2 linked regions of the Styela clava genome follow. Each later gene encodes a partner of the first gene's protein in a complex. Links are inferred from orthologs where the notes say so. Each region holds a gene or a part of one and is shown in the gene's direction. Other genes may lie near its edges.

Region 1 (7,879 bases):
AGAAAGTCCTTAATCTGTGCGAGGTTGTTTGTTGTGGCTAGAAATGGGACTTTGGTGGGCAACGTTGGAGGTAGTTGGCGCGAGGACAATCACATTGCTTTTGAGTCTGGGCGCTTCGTTACACTTAGTAAACAATGACGGAACTCAATAATATTTGAAATGAAATAAAGAACAAGAGTTAACATTAAATCACACACTGCCCAGTCTTCATAAATATTCACTACATATGATTAAGCCGTCTTGGCGACTCTCCTCTCCTCCGGGATAAATACGTAATTCATAGCTATGTAAAGTACTATTACTAAGCCGTTTAATGCTGAAAAAATCAAAAATGTACTAGCTCGTTGCAGCAATAACTCGTAAGAGGACATGGTGATACCGATGTGAATGTTGTCTATAGATAGATACAACACACGATTAAGTCGTAGTTTGTAGGATACAACGTTGACTTAACGTGAGAACGTGTTGTCGTTTCAATGTGACTCGTATTTATACATATAGTTATACTCTCGTAACAATGATTTTGGCCGGTGTTAAAAATCAACACCCACGAGCCAGCCAGAAACACAGCCCAAAAGTTATCTCCTTTTGTTGGTACTTTCCGTGTTACTAAAAATAGAATCACGCAACGATAGCACGTGATTGTTTTCAGCCAATCATAATTCGGTTTAGAGGTGGAACCCCACGGGAAGATATAGGGAAGAGGTCTCGGTACTGCCTTGGGTAGTCGACCTGGTGTTGCTTTCAAAAATGGACTGGGTAAGCAGGTAAGGGGCTGTAGACGCAAATAGACATTGCGTTTACAGTTTTTACTCGACCTGTTTTCGCTTAAACGACGGTATTGGTACTAGACTATTTGTTCATCGTCGTTCAACTAGACTGCAAAAAATACTTCAAACTTTTAAATACTGAAATATGAATCCCGCATCAACTGTCAGACTGTGAAGTGCTAGAATTCGGATACGTAATCTTTTCTGACAGTTTTCGGACAACACTTCTGTTGTTATGATTCTTAAATATTTATTTTTGCGCTGAAGGATAAAAAGTTTTTATAATATTACTGTACGTATTATGGCATGGTACAGTGGTAGCAGGCCACAAACTCTCTGAGGTCAGAAGTTGACTAGACTGCCAGAATACTGAAATAGTCAGATAGCAGGATAGAATGTCTGTATGTAGTAGGGGTCTTCTATACTGCTATCTGACTCTACTGCTCTATTTATATTTATTAAAGATCCATGAATTCAATGTTCAGAATATGCCAACACTTTTCTGTAGTGCTGTAATGAATACCGGTATTAATAAAATTAGCTTATGTTTATCAACAGAGAAAGTTTTTTTTTGCATATTTTCTGGTTCCTTTGCTTAGAACTTGAACACACATCATTGCTCCAGTGCTCAGTGGCTCAAAATTTAGCAAAACAACTTAATGCGAGATTTTGACAATGAGTTATTTCTGTATTTGTATCATTGCAATTTAAAGAATCCCCTTTTGTGAGAATCCCCTATGTCATAATCATTAGATTGTATGAAGAGATAGGTTGGGGCAATTCATGCGGCAATGAAAAAATCAATTACAAGGTTATAGTGTGTTTTAGGTTATTGTGTGCGAGGTTATCTCTCTGTCTGTGTATTTTTTCCAAGTTATGTTGAAATTTCGTGAAATTTGGCCCGAGGGCCAAATGCTAGCTTGTGCGAAGTGAACAACACATGCCATAAGATTAATGACCAAAATTTTTGCCTGCAACTACTATAAAGCCTATGTTAAATAAATGGACTGCCAGCGATTTCACTCAGGTATTTGTATACGGTAATCTGGCCCTCCTGTATTGAAGGTTGCATACCCCTGCTGTATCTGATTGATTGTTGAGATGATAAGATTTCCTGTAAACATCAAGCAAACAATTTTAGCTAATTGTTGGAATGAGTAGTACATTTTTGATGTTCTGTAAGAAAATACAGGTATGCATAGTTAGAAGGATTCAAGAGTTTGCAACTATCTTGTTGTGATACAAAAATGAAGAATGTCTGCTTAAACAAATTATTGATTGGATCAATATTATAAAGAACATCAGATATTTTGGATGTCAAATTATTCTTATATTTATAAGCTGTCCTCTACAAACAATGACACACGTCAGATTTATCCATATTGTTCATGATGTCACTGTAGTTCCTTTTCAACTATTATTGTTTATCTCTGGGAAATTTCTGTGTGAAATTTCACAATGTAAATGTGACCAGTTCATATATTATGTTAGCGCATAGGGTTTCAGATGAGTCCATTTTTGTGTCATAATATGTAGACTTATATAATAAAGAAGATATGTTTGTTCATCAAAATTAAATAATCCTAGCTACGAAGATATAAATTTAAAAACTATTCAGAATATGTGAAATTATAGTGTTATTATTTATTTGTTCATATATATATATCTTTGCAGACTTTGGAAAAATGTATCGAATAACTATATTGTATAACATTTATTTTCGTAAGATGTACTTTTAAATTTTACAATATTTTTTAGAAAAATTTTCATAATCAAAATTTTTCATGTTGGCAATTTGACATCATTCTCATGACTCAATGTGTAGTGTTTAAGTGTAGGATCAGACTTTACAGCTGAATATGAAATGTTTGCCACTCTATATATTTATATATGTTTTTTGCCATGGACTTTCATCATATTTGTTAAATTTATAGGTACTCCTGAAGTATGCGCACCAAGATGTCGCATAACCTGAACCCTAACCTGGTACACACCTGAGTTCAGGTTGTGGGCCATCTTGGTACGCATACTTCAGGAGGTCCAATTTATATTTATATACCGTATGTATTTGTTTAAACTAATTAGGTGGCGGACAGAATGCTATAACGTCAAACTATATAAACATAGACATTCCATTCTATAGCCATATGGAGAAGTTATTATTGATCACATTTATATATATAACCTTTTTCTGGTATCACATTTTCTTTCCCCTGGTGAACCATTCTTTTATTTTTCAGAAAAAAATGAGTAAAAATATGGCAGTCACCTGAAAATATGATGTCATACTTTCTGTTCAATAAAGAGTGCTTCAGTAGTATTTCATGACTTATTTATTATTACTTTTTCTTCTTGGGACAAATATACTTGTAGACATTGTGATTACCTCAATACCATAGGAGATTATCAGGCTATTTTTATGACAGAATGAATGATAGAAGCATAGAATGGTATGACCGAAGAGATAGCGATTTTTTTAAATTGCTTTCAGCAATTTATACTAAACTCAAATTTGTTAACTTTAGAGTACATCATGAATTCGAATTAAAAAATGGGGCTTTAGAATACTAATTATTCAGATAGGGTAATGATTATATTCAAAATTCAAAAATATCTAGTAGTTTGCTCAAAAGTTTTTCAGAAACCCCCATCTTGAAGTAAAATATAAATAGATGAATTTTCAGCAATCCTAAATTTCTACCTTTATAGATCCCATATTATTTCTAACTGTTTTTCAGGCTTCCTATCTTAAAAAATTTGATGCCTCTGGCATCGTATTTTTCACAATCATGACAAACCGTCTGAAACTTTTGTATCAGTGCGTTTTGTGATTTAAAATTCTGCGTCCTAATTTTTGCCAGTTTTTGGAGAGATATTATTTCATTTTGAAGACCTGAAAAATTTTCGCCTAGTTATGTATTCTTGTTTAAATTTTTTTTATATATCTTCATAAATATTACAGCATATAGGGTACCTGATTTAAGATGATAAATAGAATGTATTATATTATAACTATTATATTAGCTAATAACTGTTTAAATATAATATATATATAGAAAATAAATATATTAAAAAACTAGTGTTTGAATTCCAAGTTTTCATTGCGGCGTAATTGTGTCAATTTTCGAAAAATTGTCAATCTGAATCTATTGCATAATTTATTTCATTTAACTTGTGTCCTGAATATGGTGACCGTACATTTGAACCCATGCGTATATCCACGGGTTCAATCTATATGCGGGTGCTATAACCCATGGGTTAGGGTTAGTATGGGTTTAACTATCCGTGAAACAAAAAAAATTCCATAGGTGCAATAGCATACAGGTGCAATTGTCATGGGTTCAAATGTACGTGGGTTCAAATGTAATGGAACCCCTGAATATATATGAATATTTATACATTTCAGTTATAAGACAATTTCTTTGAGATTTAGAATTTATTTAGATTGTTTCTGAATATGTATCTCCGTTATTATTATAATTTAAAAATGAATGCTTTTTTATTGCTTGAAGTATTACCATGAAGTATTGAAATGCACTAACAAATATCGCCGAAATAAAAACATATCAAGTGTAGAGCGTATACTTTATTAGTAGTGGGTGAAATAAACATTTTTTTAAAATATCTTGAAGTAATATTTACTGGTACATAAACTTTTCTTTATTTGATGTAAGTTCTTCAATTTGGAAAAAACATCTCTATAATTTTGAACTCAAGAGGTATATAGATATTGGATATATACCAGTTTTGAATTCATTTATTAACGTTTCCTTTGAGTATGACGCTATATGTATATGGACATTTTTAATAGAATAAGGAAGTGCTGTAATTTGTTTAGTGTTCAATCGAAACCAATGAAATGACTCTTGCTCTACTTGTATACCATATCTCACTTGGTGACAGGTCTATACATTCTCCTCATTAGATGCCTTTATTTGAATGTGGTTTGTCCTAAGGTGCAACACCTAAGTATCCACCATTTTGCAATTTGTACTATTTTACCTACCATAACTATTATCAGTAAATTATAATCCTTGATTTTTCAACAGAACAATATTATTGTAAAGTAAATATATTGGTCGTCACTACGTTAGGATAATTACAATTATTATTACAATAATCCTATAAAATATTTTGTGGAAATTATATGAAGGAAAGTTATTCTTATTAGATGTATCACTCTCCTCAACGAACACTACCTTTTCAACAAAAGTACGAAAATACAATAAATATGTATCCGGATGAGGTATGTGAATCTATAAGAGTATTTAATATCTTCTGATATTTTCAAAACCATAACAATAGTGAAGTAGTTATCAAAGATTTAAACTTGCTTAAAAATGATCCTGCGTCCGAGGATACAGATGGACCATAAGCAACATATTCATTTGACATTAATGAACAAAAATAAAAAGTTTGTTATACATAAAAAATATAACCATGTCAATATGAAGCTGTTCAAACTTGGAACAAAAACTATTTTCCCAATAGCATTTATCTAGATTTATAAAAAAAAATTGTCATTCCATGTGAGAACTTTGAAATTGTGTGTCATGCGGATTTTAGCTTCATCTCTTATACCAGTAGTTTGAATTAAAATACTATTGGTGATATCATGATAAATTTGCTCAGAAATTGCCTCACTCAGTTTACTTTACTGGTCAAATAGTAAGTTAATGATTTATCAAAGCGTTGCTTTTCTTCTTTCAGAGTCAGGAACCGTTTCTTGACATTATCGAACACCCAAAAGCGAGAGGGTTCAGATTCCGGTATTCTTGTGAGGGACCATCCCACGGTGGCATACCCGGGGCTAGTAGTGATAAAAACAAGAAAACATATCCTGCAGTTCAGGTATTTTTAATGCCATAGCTACAGTCAATAAATCCAATGTTATAAATTGTGTGGGTGTTTGTTGGTATGTATAAGGAATTTAGTTTGTAAACAAAATAGCTGAAAAATTTCACTACCTAATAAAATCATGAATATTGTCAAATATACTTGTATTTTATGATTATGATCGGAATATCTAATTTTAAAATATGTGCAAATTTGTGATATATAAGTTTTAGATTATTGTGTGTTATTTGATATAAACATTTCCATTTTAATGTCGGTGCTATTTGATGGCCCAACAGCTAAGCTTATACTATCTATTTATTTATAATTGGATTTTTCTAATTTTTTAATTGAATTCCTAACATTATCAGATAAGAAATCACTCAGGATATGCAAGAATTGTTGTTCAACTTGTTACAAATGAAGAGAACCCACGACTTCATCCTCACTCTTTGGTTGGAAAACAATGTCAGAATGGCATCTGTACAGTTCAGTGTGGACCCAAAGACATGACTGCCACGTAAGTTTCTCTCTTATTTCTCTTTCACTCATTTTTTCTTTCCAGACAGAAGAGCTTTCTCTCTTTTTTCCCTCCCTTCTCTCTTACATATTTGAAGGGGATTTTTCTAGGTGTAATAAAATGATTTCGAAACATGGCGTAATACATGACAGGCCGACAGGGTATAAATATCAGGAGTGCTGTTTTGACAAGCATTGTTCAATTTGGATATCCTAATAAAATCATAGGAATTCATTGCTTATAATTGAGCCTTGGATTCAAAATAATCATAGTCTTAGGCAAGATCATATTTGAACACACCAAGTTAAAATTTAAGACTCGAGTTATAGTTACAATGAGGCAAATGCATACAATAAAAAGAAGTATGTTCGAAGTATTCAAATCATGAATCATTTTGGCCAAAGACCAGAATTATAATAAGCATTTCACAACGTTCTACAGTACTTCGTCATGTCATTTCTCACAAATAATATAAATGCAAAAATTCAATAGGCCTAGCCTATATTTGCTATCAAGTTGTTGTAACTAAATAAGAATATAATTTGATTTATCTTTTTGCGATAAATATTTTAAAGATAAATTATGTAAATTGCCATATTTGGATATTTGTTTTCTAAATGCTGACGGAATATCTTTACCACACCTCATGCTGTGCTGATAGAATGGGGTTCAATTTGAATTGAAATGTTGTTTAATTTATACATTTCATTATAAAATCTTCTTTCTATTTCAATACTTTAAATTTAGCATTTGCTCAAACGAATATATAGATTTTTTGCCTCAATTATCGATTTTTTCGTTTAATATTCTTTTCTATTTATATAGAATCAATTATTAACAGTAAATTTTGCTTTTATGACATCCTCAATATGACCAATTAAAATTTATTTTTATATTAAAAAAATTTGCATTTTTATGATTCAGATTTCCCAATCTTGGGATACAACATGTCACGAAGAAAAATGTAGCAAAAATTCTTGAAGAACGATACTTGGCTGCCGAAATGCAGCTCTCGTCCCTCAATGAAGGATTGACCGCGGACATTCAAAATGCTATAAAGGGTACGATCTCCTTCGATTCATTTTTACCTTAAATGGCTGTTGATGACATCGAAGTTGTTCATTTATACCTCGCCTGTTATTAGAATCAGGGACATCAGAACAGCTTAATTATTTAGTTCAAATGCTCAATGCTTCATGCCAGTTGTGTCTGATTGCCGCTTGCATTTCTCATTGATTATGAGAAATCAATGTTTGAAATCAATCATGATAATATCTTAATTCGCTTCATATCTGTGTATAAAAATAACTTGAGCACTGGCATGGTGGGAATTCCCATTTCACAATGACTATGAATTTTTTAGGTCAGTGTGTGGTGGCGGTGGGGCTTAGTTTTGTTTTGGAAACTCTACATCTGCAATTTGTATTTGCTCACAAATATTATATTATTATAAATAATAACTGAATTGTTTGGTTTCCTAAAATTGTGTTTTACGATTTGAATGGAATTTGCCCATTCGATCCATTCATGAAATAGTCATGATGAATGCCAACTTTTTCTTGATAAATTGTCCCCTGCTGAAAAGAATTGTAATAAGACTGTTTCTCACATCGTATTTCAGAGTATTTTATTATTTTCTGCATTGCAGATATCTAATGAAGTTTCTGATATTACTTTTGGTATAATTTCAAATATTCTGCAATGAGTTGAAATATCTTAAATCTTATTTAGATGAAGACAAACAACGCATCAG
Region 2 (6,053 bases), on another chromosome or scaffold:
CCGGAGTCGTTTTCTTACTGCTTTTAAATGTTGTAAGCTGAGATTTAATTTTTTTAACTTTGTAGGTGAAGCAATGACCTGTGAATATGAGTGGTCATGGAGCACATTGTTAAATTTCTCCTGCACTGACCACTTCTGCTTTACACATGAATGAAATTTTCTTTTTGTCGGTGACTTTCGCTGTTCGTTGACCTGCAAGAAATTTTGATGATCATGAGCATGTCCCACTTTAGATGCGTTGAACCGAAGCATGTGGCAAAAAACGAGAATTTTGAAAATTTAGAAGGCATTTGTCGTAAAAAAAAATCTCTCACATCACATAAACAGATGATTTTATATAGTTATTCCGATAAACTAAAAATTAAAATACATAACAGATCAAGTCTATTACCATAAGCTAAAATACTAGGTATCTGCATGCTATAGTGATCTTAATTGCCTGATATATGAAAAAAACACCCATTAAAATATGTGACAGGATTTTTTGTCGCTCTGGGTACAACATTTAAAGTTATTGAGGATTCAATTTGTTGTTTATCTTATGCATACCTTTCTTAAATATTTTGGAAATGCTTTGAATCGGGTCGGAACAGCATTGTCCTTAATTCTTGTGCGTTGCCCGGTTCTCTTAATATCGCTCTCTTTAAAATGGTCAGAGCATAAACGTGAAGAACTAGTTGGAATCCAATTCGCCCTCCGCAAAGCAGTTACCCACTTCTCGCAAAGTGCCTTATTCAAAGGAAATCTGAGAAAAATATTGTTAATTATGTATGAGCAAAAAAGAACTGATAATCATTTCATGCAGTAAGTGCACAATTTATTCGGATTTGAGCTACTTGAATTGAAGCAGGCCAGAACCAGAATTTGGATTTAACATAGTCTATCTGTATAGTCAAAAACGCTCTTTTCTAGTCAATAATAGTTTTATGCGCTAAATTGTTGACTACTTTGTATGTTATAAACTTGCTGTCGCCTTCAGCCCAAATGATTTAAATGCTTATACAATTTTTCCAACAACTTTGACTAAATTACAACTTTACTACAAACTGACTTCTGACCTTATAGTTACAGAAGACGAGCCTCAATACTGTACCGAGACAGCTATACCTGTATCTGTATGCATTTACTCTAACATATATCTGTATATCATGATAATAAAACTAGCTTTATCTTTTACAATGTTTAGCAGGCTATGAACAAATTGCTAAGACACACACTGGCAGACAACTGAAAACTGATATTGTTAACACAAACTGCTGGGCTATTTTTCTTACTTATGAAATGTCCTTATTTTCGTTTCAGCACACTTTCCTCGTCATCATCTCCCTCGCTATCACTTCGAAAGTCCTTCTTTTTAAAACGTTTTTTGCAACCATATGCGGAGCACTGAGTACCAATACCGCTACTTTTTCCAATCATTTTCTCCGCCTCAGATTTTTTTGGCAATGCCATACCGTACCTACCTTTAGTTAAACTATTCCGTAACTATATCGTACTGTCAGCCTAAAATATAAAAAAAAATACTAACTAGCTAGTGACAAATACTAACCTAGCCACCTATACTTAGGGAAGTTTGAACGTAAATACCCAATTATGAAACTAGCAGCTTTTAAACACGAAAAACAAGCCAAAACCAGCGAACTACCCTACCAGCAGGAAGAAAGTTTGGAAGCATAAGTGCCAAGATGGCGGCGATCAAATTGTCCCGCGCAGCGACAACGCAAAACGAGAGAGAAGATCGTTCCATATATTTCCAGTTCAGTGGTACAAATGCATAAAGTCGGCGTAGCAAATACGATTATTTAATAAAAAATAAAAATCGCATGGAGAGGGTTAAAACCATGATATTCAAAATTCTAAAAAAATGATTAAAAATCTTGATCTAATTCGGAAACTAATAATAAAAAAAAAAATTATTCTATGTCAAGAAAAAAAAAATAGAGCAAAACTAAAAAATAGCATAAAAATTAAAAAAAAAAAAAAAAATGAACGTAGTCGCAGGCGCCATTACGAGTGACGTCGTTATACTTTGACAAGCTCTATTTCGTGATTGTGACGTCGCAGTGACGTAATTTTTGGATGCCGTAGCCAGGTGGGGGTTCAGGAGTGACATATTAAAAAAAATTGAGCAACGCCCACTAGAAGTATATGTGGTACTAAACGTGGATTTATGAGAGAGATCGCTGCCGTTAGTGAGTTCTTTATCGTCGGCGCAGATGCCATTTCAGGCGATCGTAGGCATACAGAATACGAAAATTCCGTTTGGCATTGGAATTTATTTGGCAAAAAAAAAAAAAAAGGTACTTTGGCAAGCTCTATGACAGTATGGCGTGATGGTGCCGTAATTTTTTGATGGCATAGTCAGGTGGGGTTACAGTACAGCACACTATCCAAATTCCAAGAATTTGGCTCAATAAAACAAACACTTCATGTGTCTCACAAACGAGGGGCCTCTGGGACCACGTCAGATGCTTCATATCATGCCGTGCTTGTCTCAATAATAATCTAAATTAATCGGAGCCGTCACATGATCAAAATTCCCATTTGGTCATTTGGTTTGGCCATTTGTCCAGACGTCTCCCCAAAGGAGGGGTGTCTGATCATCTGTAAAATGGGTTTCTCTGAAACGGGACAATGTCACCCGATATGTATAGTGTGCCGTACTGGGTTAGAATTGACATTTGCAAAAATCATTATGCTACGCTCACTAGAAGTACTTCTGTACTTGGGGTACAAAACTACACGAGACCCGTCAATCTTAACCCCCATCTGACTACGTCATCCAAGAATTATGTCACTACGACATCACAATTATGTCATAGAGCTTGCCAAATATACGTAGAATCGCCCGAAATGGCATTGGCGCCGACGATAAAGAACTGACTGGCGTTATCGATCTCTCTCCTATTGGAATCGTTGCGACAAGAAAACGAGAGAAAATTACGTCACTGCGACGTCACAATCACGATAGGAGAAAGATCGATAACGCCGGTCAGTTCTTTATCGTCGGCGCCAATGCCATTTCAGGCGATTGTACGTATATTTGGCAAGCCCTATGACGTAATTGTGATGTCGTAGTGACGTAATTTTTGGATGCTGTAGTCAGATGGGGGTTAGGATTGACATATCAAAAAATTGTTATGCTACGCCCACTTGAAGTAAGTTAGGTACGAAACTACACGAGACCCTACTTCTTCTTTGTTGTATGTATGTTGAAGTTGAAATTCAATGTTCAAAAGGTAATTTTATTATTTTAAGGGTATGTGATTTATAAAATTTTTCATTTTCGTGGTACTCTTTATTGCTATCAGTTTTCATAATTTCGGGTCAACACTTTTTTTATGGTACCTTTTCTAAGGTTTTGTTGCATAGTTTTAAATCCTAATAAAGTCCTTATAAAAATGTAGCAATAATATTTTTTCACAGTGAATTATGTACGATTGTATTTCAATTATTGGTGTAGTTTTTGAATGAGTTTATAATTTATTTATTTAACTTCTGATGTAAAAAAGTTACGGTAGTTTTCTGAGATACAGTCAACTTGTTTTTCCAAGATCATGTATCTTTGCTTCTTTTAGTAATTATCCAAACTCAATTACCTGAAATTTCTTCATAATACACTGCATTTTATATTTGAACTTTCAAGTTAGAATTCCCACGATTAGTCACTTATTAACTATGCGCATTTATGCAGTCAAAATTTATAGTATAATCTGAAATGAATTTACTTTTCCCTAAATTACTTTCTATACAAATAAGTTCCATTTTCATTTTACCTATTAATTTGCTAAAACTTTTTATGAAAATAATGCTGTTTGAATTGTTCACCTATCCTTACAAATTTATTTGTAAAAAAATTCAAAGTTTTACGATTGTGGTCAAATCTGGCTTGTGTGACAAGCTAAAAAAATTAATCTATACTGGAGCTTTTGGACTAGTCAAAATGAAATAAGGACCAGGCCAAATTCTTGAATATCAATTTTTTCAAATATAGACTTCCTTCAGAGGTCACAGCCATATTCGTTCTGTTGAATGTTTATATAAACCTACCTCGTTCAGTTAATATAGTGGAATGCTTGTGCGATATATGCAGACTGTCTTTTATTATTTTGCCTTTATCCTATATCTTACTGCACTGTATTTGTATTAAAGTACTGGTAATCAGCTAACACAAGTAGCTACCTTTTACTATCTTGCCTTCCTCATGTATCTTACTGCACTGTATTTTTATCAAAGTGATTAGTTAACACAAGTAGCCCAGCTGACAAGATGTCTGTAATACAATGTGATACAAAAGAAGATTTCGATAAGCAACTTTGTGATGCTGGTCAAAAACTTGTTGTTGTCGACTTCTATGCGACTTGGTGCGGACCGTGTAAAGTGATTGGTCCCAAAGTTGCAGCAATGAGTGGGGAATACAAAAATGCTGTTTTTCTAAAAGTGGATGTGGACGAAAATTCAGACACTACTGAAAAGCATGGAATAAGTGCTATGCCTACATTTCTGTTTTTCAAGAATGGTCAAAAAGTTGATGAACTTGTGGGAGCAAGTGAAGCCAAGCTGAGAGAGATGATAGAGAAGAATATTTAGAATCTTTTCAATATAGTTTTGATTTCCTGTAATTGATCCAATAGCGATAAATTATCCCAAAAATCATTTTGAATTCGGGAATGCACAATTTGTAGTCAATTTTAATATTTGTAGTGTTGTAAATTGTAATCTGAGGCTAATTTTTTAATACAGATGTACTCAGTGAAGATGTTACCTGGGTTTAAATAGTTGAATACAGAATTCCGATTTTGAACAAAGTTTGATAAATGTATTTATAAACGGGAATGGGTTTGATAATTTATTTTGCAGTTCTGATTTAAAAAAATTAGTTTTCTGCGATACAGTCAACATATCTCTTCAAGATCATGTATCTTTGCTTTTTTTAGTAATTATCCGAACTCATTAGAAACACGAATAGTCACACAATTTGCTTATGATGAAGTCAAAATTTGTTGCCCAATCTGGATTGAATTTACTTTCTTAGAATTTCTTCCTATATAAATATGTTCTATTTGCACTTTTCGGTATTACTTATTAAATTTGCCCCAAAATTAATGCAATTAGGCTTGAGCACCCATTCTGATATTTTACAACCAGTTTCTCGTAAAATTTGTAGTTTTACCCAATGCGGTCTAATCGAGCATGTTATATCATGATTTGCTAAAAAATATTCTTGAATATTAATCTTTTTAAATATGGACTTCCATAAAGCTCACATGCATATTTGTTCTGTTGAATGTTTATTCAAACGTTCTAGTTAATATAGTGAAATGCTTGTACGATATATGCAGATTATCTCTTGATTTTGCAAATTTTGATGATAATAGGGAATATTCAATATTGTGATAATACATTATTCAAATTTCAGTTTTTTCGAGTGACTATTTTTTATAAACAAATTTTCAGGTATTCGAATTGTAGTACTGACAATAATATTGGTTCTGTTTTATTTAGCTTCGGGATATTACTTTTAAAAATTGAACTTTCCATAACATGTGAAAACTTGTACGATATTCTGAAGTCGGGATATTTTACATTGGATTGAACAACAACCATGGGTGGATGTATAAGGAGGCTGATCGGCCCTCCACAAAATTCAAATACAAATGGAAGTAACCGGCAACCAAAAATGTCACAGGCATCATTTTCAAATATTCAACAACAACAACGATCTCAAAGTAAGAGACTACCAGAATTTTTTTTTTATTTATATCTGCTTTTTTAAATTTATTTATCAAATAACATATCGCCGGATGAGAACAGAACAGGCCTAAGTCACAATTTTGAGTTTTGAGAAAAACGCAAAAAACAATTTGGAATTTTTTTATTTTTGAATATCTAGATATTCACAATTAGTAAAGTCCTGAGCTCTGGTTATTTTAGTTTGGATGAGAATATCTTTGTAATCAATATTTTTTGGCACTTCAGCTTCAATTTCTTTCTGCTTTTTTACCTCCATAAGAGATTTAGGCCCATTCTGTTCTCAACAACTTCTGAAATTT

The links. The genes of interacting proteins can lie anywhere in the genome.
Region 2: the proteins of nuclear factor NF-kappa-B p105 subunit-like (region 1) and thioredoxin-like are in contact, whole or in part, in an NMR structure (PDB 1MDI), measured with the Homo sapiens proteins. The link is inferred for Styela clava from reciprocal best matches to the Homo sapiens genes NFKB1 and TXN. Residues at the interface, in NP_001158884.1 of Homo sapiens: Arg56, Phe57, Arg58, Tyr59, Val60, Cys61, Glu62, Gly63, Pro64; in NP_003320.2 of Homo sapiens: Thr30, Trp31, Cys32, Pro34, Met37, Ile38, Asp58, Val59, Asp60, Asp61, Gln63, Ala66, Ser67, Val71, Lys72, Pro75, Ser90, Gly91, Ala92.

The regions. Positions count from the first base shown.
Region 1 is NC_135256.1:16,831,475-16,839,353, reverse strand, and holds the start of nuclear factor NF-kappa-B p105 subunit-like, read left to right. Parts: upstream 1-4,802; 5' UTR 4,803-4,941; coding exon 4,942-5,016; intron 5,017-5,480; coding exon 5,481-5,621; intron 5,622-5,977; coding exon 5,978-6,126; intron 6,127-7,050; coding exon 7,051-7,187; intron 7,188-7,857; coding exon 7,858-7,879.
Region 2 is NC_135257.1:18,245,220-18,251,272, forward strand, and holds thioredoxin-like, read left to right. Parts: upstream 1-4,199; 5' UTR 4,200-4,269; coding exon 4,270-4,590; 3' UTR 4,591-5,505; downstream 5,506-6,053. Other genes in the region: tyrosine-protein kinase Src42A-like, read left to right, coding at 5,606-5,729. UniProt on the Homo sapiens protein: Participates in various redox reactions through the reversible oxidation of its active center dithiol to a disulfide and catalyzes dithiol-disulfide exchange reactions.